2 linked regions of the Rhinolophus ferrumequinum genome follow. The protein of the gene in region 1 purifies or fractionates together with the protein of each later gene. This does not show direct contact. Links are inferred from orthologs where the notes say so. Each region holds a gene or a part of one and is shown in the gene's direction. Other genes may lie near its edges. The genes, in order: MTOR and AKT1S1.

Evidence for each region.
Region 2: the proteins of MTOR (region 1) and AKT1S1 purify together in Homo sapiens (affinity purification with western blotting; 8 studies listed by BioGRID and IntAct, with this or other methods). This does not show direct contact. The link is inferred for Rhinolophus ferrumequinum from reciprocal best matches to the Homo sapiens genes MTOR and AKT1S1.

What each region holds. Positions count from the first base shown.
Region 1 is NC_046292.1:7,570,696-7,574,607, reverse strand, and holds the start of MTOR (serine/threonine-protein kinase mTOR), read left to right. Parts: upstream 1-1,415; 5' UTR 1,416-1,547; intron 1,548-3,469; 5' UTR 3,470-3,483; coding exon 3,484-3,645; intron 3,646-3,912. UniProt on the Homo sapiens protein: Serine/threonine protein kinase which is a central regulator of cellular metabolism, growth and survival in response to hormones, growth factors, nutrients, energy and stress signals.
Region 2 is NC_046298.1:44,905,144-44,909,055, reverse strand, and holds the start of AKT1S1 (proline-rich AKT1 substrate 1), read left to right. Parts: upstream 1-1,423; 5' UTR 1,424-2,098; coding exon 2,099-2,151; exon of another isoform or gene 2,152-2,244; intron 2,245-3,912. Other genes in the region: TBC1D17 (TBC1 domain family member 17), read right to left, coding at 149-223, 431-529, 1,001-1,021. UniProt on the Homo sapiens protein: Negative regulator of the mechanistic target of rapamycin complex 1 (mTORC1), an evolutionarily conserved central nutrient sensor that stimulates anabolic reactions and macromolecule biosynthesis to promote cellular biomass generation and growth.

The sequences.
Region 1 (3,912 bases):
AAAGAAACCTACAAATGCACTGGTTACTGTTGCTATAAAACCATCTTTGTCAGTTAGAAAACAGAGCCTTATCGTGTCTTAGAGTGGCAAAAATTTCATATGAAATGAAAATTGGTACCTCCCTTATAGAGATCAATTTCATAATATCCATCAAACTACACGTGCATTTACCCTCTGACCCTGGATACCCATTTCTGGATTTTTTGGTATAGCTGCCAGGGAATAAAATTATATACATATGTACAAAGGAATTCATTGCAGCATCATTAGTAATAGCAAGAATTTGGAAACAACACAAGTGTCCATCAACAGAGGACTCGAAAAATAAATTATGGTACATCCATGTAATAGAATACTACTATGGAGCTATAACAACAACGAAGGAACAAGGAAGCTTTCTATATAGTAAGATAGAAAGATCTCTAAGGTACACTAAAATTTTAAAAGTGCAGAACAGGGATCAGTAGGTGGCTCAGTTGGTTAGAGCACGAGCTCTCAACCACAGGGTTGCCGGTTCAACTCCCTCCAAGGGATGGTGGGCTGCGCCCCCTACAACTAACAACGGTGACTGTGGAGCTGAGCTGCGCCCTCCACAAGTAAGACTGAAAGGACAATAACTTGACTTGGAGCTGACGAGTCCTGGGAAAAACACACTGTTCCCCAATAAAAAGTCCTGGAAATACAGTGTTCTTCAATAAAGCCCTTCCCCAATCAAGTCCTTCCCCAATAAAAAAATCTTTAAAAAAAAAAGTGCAGAACAGTGTATATAGTATAACAAAAGGGGAAAATAAAAATGTTTATACTTGCTTGTATTTACATAAATAAAATCTAGGGATATGTTAAGTAAGAAAATAAGTAGTGAAGAGGCAGGGGTGGAGCACAAAATTATATATTGTGATAAATGTAATTTTTATTTATTTTGAGATTTGAACAGTGAATACATTATATTGGAAAATGTTTAATGATTAAATATAGAGATGTTGAACACAAATAAACAATGTGAAATTCAGAGGAACAATTTTCACAGAAGAACCAATGCAATGAAAAGATTCTCGGGTCCATAAGTAGCGCTAGTCTGGAAACACACTCCTCTTAGAATTAAGCCGGGCGAGTTCGCGAACCCCCGCCTACCGCCGCTACCAGGCAGCCGACTAGGCACGGCGCAGCTCCGAGGCAGAGGGGAATAATAGTACCGATGCACCGGATGTGTGCGTGGAAGTGACTGAAGTCAACTCACCACTGATTGGTTCTCCGGAGTGGACTTAAGCCTCCTTTCGCCTGCCACTGGCCGCGTAGTTTGTCTATTTGAGCAGTCCCCGCCCCCTGGAGAAGCCGGGTCCCGAAGCTTCACTTCTCCTTCATTACTATTGGTGTGTGTTTCAATCCATCTTCGCCTTACGCCTGCCGATTGGTTCTTAGGTCTGGGAGCCAGCCCTCCCTGCCGCCGGCTTAGAGGACAGCGAGGAAGGCGGGTGGTAGGGCCCCGGGCCTGAAGCGGTGGTACCGGCGCTGGTGGCGGCAGCTGAGGCCTTGGCCGAAGCCGCGCGGTGAGTCTGGAGCCTGGCACCGACCCATGCAAGGCGGCGGAATGTCCAGACCCACAGCCAGCCTGGTCTGTGGAGGGCCCGGGGAAGCCGCCCTTCTGGGCCCTGGGGTCCCTTCAGAACTGGCCCCAGACTTGGGCGCCGCCTGAGCCCTTAACCCCCACCCTGCGAGGCAACGCCCACCTCCTCCCGGACCCCCAGGAGACCCCTGGATCCTTGAGCCTGCCGTGCGTCTCTGGCTGCGCGAAGGCCGGCCCATCAGCTCCGGTACTATCGGGGAGCCTTTGGGTCTCCTTGTCCGTCAGTCACCCCTTCTTCGGAGCCACCTTACAAATTGTCCTCAGAGAAGACCAGCGTCAGTCTCAGCCCCTTGCACTCCAGTCTGGAGACTTCTCAAGGAACCTTTACCCGGAGCTGAGCTCGGTTCCATCCTTGGGTTTCATCCCTCTGCCTCCCCCGCCCCCATCCCTAGTTTCAGCCACCCAACTTGAACTTCTGTAAGCCCTCCCCAGTTCCCTTAGGGCATTTGACTTCCAGCATTTTAATTGCATTCTGCCTGGAGCAGATGGCCTGTGGGCCTTAGACCTTAAAAAGATAGGCTGGTTCTTTCCTGAGAATAGAAATTCCTTGCCAGCCTCCCTCCCCGTCATCACAGAGGCGCGGTCACACACCCTATAGTAGTTTTCTCATCAGGGATCCTTGGATATTCCCTCCCCTGGAGGAGGACATTTCCTTCTGCAGTCTTTTTTCTGGCACTGGAGTATTTAAAAGGTTTTCAAAACCAATGATTCCGTGTGTTTTTTTCCCTTGACATCGCAAATTCTTTCAAAAATAAGAATTTTGAAAAATTGATATTCTACTATAACCTGAACATACCTAAGTTAGGTATATATGTTACTCCCGTAGCAGTCTGGGCCAACCCCTATTCTGGCCACTTTATTGTGGTTGCCTGATTACTTGTATTTCCCCTTAGATTGTAAGCTCATTGAGGGAACGGACAGGTACATAATTGAGGAATGAATGAATGGTTTCAGGAACTAATCAGTCTCTTTTAGCTCACATTTCAAGTACTAGTATTCTACAGAACTGCACTGTCCAGTACGATAACCACCAGCCATGTGGCTTAGAGCGCATGAAATAATAACCATGTGGCTTAGAGCGCATGAAATGTGACTAGTCTAAATTGAGATTGCCGTTAAGTGTAAAATATACATTAGATTTTGGAGACTTGGTACAAAAAAGAATGGAAAATATATCAATTTTTTATATTGGTAACATGTTGAAATGATAATTTTGGGTATATTGGATTAAATAAAATGTATTAATATTGCCTGTTCTTACCTTTTTGATATGGCTACTAGGAAATTTAAAATTACATTTGTGGTTTGTGTTATATTTCTGTTGGACAATGCTGCTATGGAATAAAAATTTCCCTCTTTAAATTGAACTCTCTGAGGAAAGGCAGTCTTAGGCATGTTTTATTCTCTCTCTACCTCCCCACCTCTAGTTTCTGGCACTATAATAATAGCTAACAGAACTCACTGTGTGCCCGGCACTGTTTTAAATACTTTTTAACATGTATTAACTCATTTAATCCTCACGTCAACCCTATGAATTAGGTAGTAGTATTCCCCTATTGCAATGGAGGAAATAGATATTTCAAGTATCTTCTCAAGGTACATAGTTTTGGACTGGATTCAAATGCAGGTAGTGTGGCTCTGCAGCCGGCAATTTGACCCTGTTACTACGCTGCCTCTGAAACATCAGTCATTATTGAATAAATAGTGGCTTTCTCCACTTTCCTTAGTGAAGTCTCCCTGCCTGACATGGACAGGGTGGAGATCGGTATGGAGAAACTGGAGTCGTAAATAAACTCACTGCCCTAGTTTGTTAACCAGGATTTTAAAGGAAGCTTCTCTTCAAAGAACCTCAGGGCAAGATGCTTGGAACCGGACCTGCTGTCGCCACCACAGCCGCCACCACATCCAGCAACGTGAGTGTTCTGCAGCAGTTTGCCAGCGGCCTGAAGAGCCGGAATGAGGAGACCAGAGCCAAAGCTGCCAAGGAGCTCCAGCACTACGTCACCATGGAGCTTCGAGAGGTGGGGGCTTCTGCCATCTGGGGCCATCCCTGGCGTGTTGGGGCAAAGTGTGCCATCACTGGCTTAGATTTCTTTGGACAGCTCAGTGAGATTCTGTTTGAGAGATGCACCCAGTTTCTCGTGTCATAGAATGGGCAATTTCCTTTGCCGTGGTTACACAGTTCTGTGGCATTTCCTATTTTGTAGTGACATTTTAGGAGTCAGCATAGAGAGTTATTTTTAAAATTTGTTTTCTTTTCCCCACTGCATTCCAGATCTTCAATTCTT
Region 2 (3,912 bases), on another chromosome or scaffold:
CCCCATTTCACAGACTAGAGGAAACCAGCAAGGGTCACACCTGCCCCAAGGAGTAGTTCTGCGATTGTACCCAGCTTTTTCAAATGCCTTCCATTGCCTGGACCTAGAAAAAAAGCAAGTGGAGAAAGGCAGAGCAAGAGAAGCCTACCTTCTTGGAGAAGAGGATTTGGGTGGAATCTCCAGCCTCTTCTACGGGAGCCCAGTGCAGGAGGACATCATTGTCCTGAGGGAAGGAAGGCGGTGTTAAAAGGACTCTCGTCTTAACTCCCCAAACCATATTGCCAAACTGCTTCCCCATTTTGGACCCTCAGCCTGACAAAGCTCCGTTTCTCTCTCCAGTCCCGCAATCATCCTAAGGTCCCATAGCTCACAACCAGACCATACTCCTACAGATGCCACCTCCATCCCGCTCTGTTCCATCCCAGCCCACCTTCTCCACAACACGGATGACGCCAGCGATGAGGGAGTCCGGGTCCTGGTGCTTCTTGGCACTGGTGTGCAGGTACACGCCTCCCTTCTCAAACACAACCTGGGGACAGGAACCAGTGAGGGGCGGGACCCAAGAGCAGAAAGACACCTAAGGGGCGGGGCCCAGGAGGGAGCCAATGGGAGTAGACCCAGGGAGGAGCTATTCCCCATGGGGCAAGGCCTGGGGGAACCATTTTCTAAGGGCATGGGACTACGAGTAGTGAAGCCTGCATACCAGACAGGCGTCCGGATACTGGGCGATGGAAGGAAAGAGGGGAGAAGGAGTAGGGAATTGTGTTATAAAAGGGGCGGGGTCCATAAGAATATCTCAGCAGCTCAGGGGGCGGGGCCAAAAGATATGGGTCTTCCTTAGGGCAGTGGAAGCAAGGGTGACAGCGCGTCACCAGGGAATGGTGTGTTTGCTAAGGATCGGCCTGGCTCCGAGAGATCTGGCACGACCTGAGGGAAAAGCAGACCACTGTGGGGGGGCGTTCCATATAGACAGAAGCGAAAGTGCGTACTTAGTACTCACCCTGTAACCGGCTCCCTCCATAGCCGCGGCCCAAGCCCCACTGTCTCGGGTCCCTCCTTTTCCGGGTCAACATGCTGTCATATCCGGATAGGAGACTCCCCTCAAGCCCGGACAGTGGTAGTGCCTTTGCCTGTTCTAGAACAGGAGTGGGTGTAACCATCTTTCAGAATGGGGTGGCCCAAGTTGAACCACGAGGGTTTAAGTCATATGGCGCAGACTCTAAAGGTGGAGACCAGCGAGGGTGCGCAAGCGCAGTGATACCATCCTTTCCACGAAGTAAACAAGGAGGCGGGTCCAATAGCTCCACCCCCTCACCCAAACGCTTCGAAACGCCTACTACTTTCTCCATATTGTATACTGGCATCGAAGCCCAATAGATGCCCTTTTGCTTGAGGGCACGACTAAAGCGGGTCAGCTGCGGCCATGTCAACGGGGGGCAGTTCCATCGCTCTGCGGAGCGCGATGGCAGGGTCCTGGAAAAGAGAAACGGAGAAAGGAAAACAACGTTGAGAGGAGCTGTACAGCAAAAGAGGCGCTGAAGAACTCGGGTTAACGGGATGAAGCCGTCAGTATCCCCGGGAACGAAGCGGTCCCAGACGAATTCATGAGTCACTGTCGAAAGAAAGCGGTCTGAGACACCATATTGAAATTGGGCAAACCGAAGCAAGAAAGGCTGCCATGTTGGATCTTTGCCAGTCTTGGTGCTGAAAGGGGATAGGCTGGAGAGTCCATATACCTTAAGGGCAAATGATGCCAGGCTGGCTGCCATGTCATCAACGGGCACTGCTTTTCTTATGTGGAAGAGGTTGATTATAAATGAGGGACGTCAAGTGGCTTGCCTTAGTTTACTGTGGTCCTGAATGTGTATGTGCAAGGCGACCATATTTCTTGGGGTCAAATCGAAATGATCTCGGTTTGTTTCCGAACAAACTGAAGCATTTCCCCATCCTTCTTATCGTCACCCTGCTGTCACCGTTGGCTCACTGATCCGGTGAAGCTCCTGTAGCCGCCATCTTTGTATCGGGCGGCCCGATAAGGGAGGCGGAGTGTGCAGAGTGGAGGCGGGCCAACCACAGGGAAGTGACGCAATTCGCCGCCATGTCTCTTGAGGGCGGCGACGGCGCCGGTTCGGCCATGCTGGCTACGGGCACGTGAGTGGAGGCGGCGTTGTGAACCACGGTGTGGGGAGGACTTGGCGGTCCGGAGGAGAGGGGCGCTGGGAGGGCGAACCGCTAGCGAGAGGGGTATGGCCTGCGTAGATGAAAGGGAAGAGATCGCCCAGCGACCGTACGCTGAGCGCTGGAAAGGGATCCCTGGCGGGAACCGTTGTGTCTGACCCGAGGCAAAACCTAGACAGCCTTACCTTCCTGTCTCTAGACCCATTAGGATCCTTACTTTGACTGGACCGTGTCCATAGGGTCGGAGGGTTGCTTGGGGGACCTTGGGGCGCCCCTCAACCGTCTAAAGGCGGGACTTCCGGTTATGCTCCCCACCTGGGCAGGATTTCCTGTTTTCTTTCTAGAGAAGAGGGTCTTTGCTGGTCCCCGGGAGAGGTGGGGTAGGTCTCTGAGAGGTGGAGAGACCTCAGATGTTCACCCCCGGCTGCGGGGTGCATCCTCCAGTTCACCCCACCTTGGAGCCGGGGCACTTTCAGTTTGACAGGTGTTTGGAAGGGGGCTTCACTAACATCCGTCATTCCTTGGGGGACTTTTCCTTTCCTCACCTCTTCCTGGAGTCAGTTTCCTCACTTCATCATCTAAGAGGCCACTCACCTCTCCTTACCCCTCCTGTGGGGGACAGGTTTCACCATTGTTTCCCTCTCTTCTTCATCTTAAACTCCTCCATTTGGGGGAGGGGGTCCTCCATTTCTCAGGTCGTTGGAGGACACAGGGCTTCCAATAGAAGCTGAAGAGAAGGGAGACTCCCCAGATCTTGGTTACTCTCCTCTTGGGTAACTGACTCCAGAGAGCCCCCAGGCTTTGGCAGAGAGGTCTGTGTGAGTTGCCCTCCTTCTCTTTGCCCATGCTCTCTGAGATGGGGGGACCCTTACTCCCACTCAGTCTCACTTCACTCTTTGCAACTCTCTGGCCACTCTAAGATCTAGGATAGAGAGGAGTTTAATCCTGGTGTCCCAAAGAAGTGAGAGTCCCAGGCCTACTACTGTCAGGCTGTGCGACCTTGGACCAGTCATTGCCTTGCCCTGAGCTTCAGTTTCCTCCTTCATCAGATGGGGATGACCCAAAGAGCTGTGAGACCTTGAGCACCTCCCAGTTCTGTTTGGTTTTGGAGTCCGGCTGGCAGCAATTTCGGCCTCACTTCTGCCCTTTCTAGCTGTGTACCTTTGGGCCACTGCCTTAAGCTCTTTGAGCCTCACTTTCCCCATCTGGACTAGGTGATCATAAATCTTTCCTCACAAGGTAGGTAGGAAGACGTTTGGAATTCAGAACAGGCTGCCAGATCCAGGTCTCCCGCTTTCCTCTCCAGCTGTCTGACCCTGGTCAAGATCTTGACTCTCGCTGGGTCTCAGTTACAACTGTGAAATGGGGCGGTAACAGCTCCTCCCTCACAGGGCTGGTGATGAGAATGTTGACACACTTAAGTCCCTGCCGGGCATGTGGGAGGTGGGGGATGAACTTGCCATGGGGTCTGTCAGGAAAGGTGCTGTTTGTGTTGTCACTGCGTGTGGCTTGCGGCAAGGGCTTGTACTCTGGTTGTCTTATTTGTGAGGTGACAGCTCCCACCTTGGTGGGTCAGGTAGGAGGTGAGATGAGAGATGCAGAGTCCCTGCACAGAATAGGTGCTCAGCAAGCACTGGCTTCTATGACTGTGAGTCACAAAAGGCCTGTGAATAGAAATCAAATTACTATGACCCCGGTGAGCTGGATCACAGCCTCGTTTGAATCCCTCCAGTG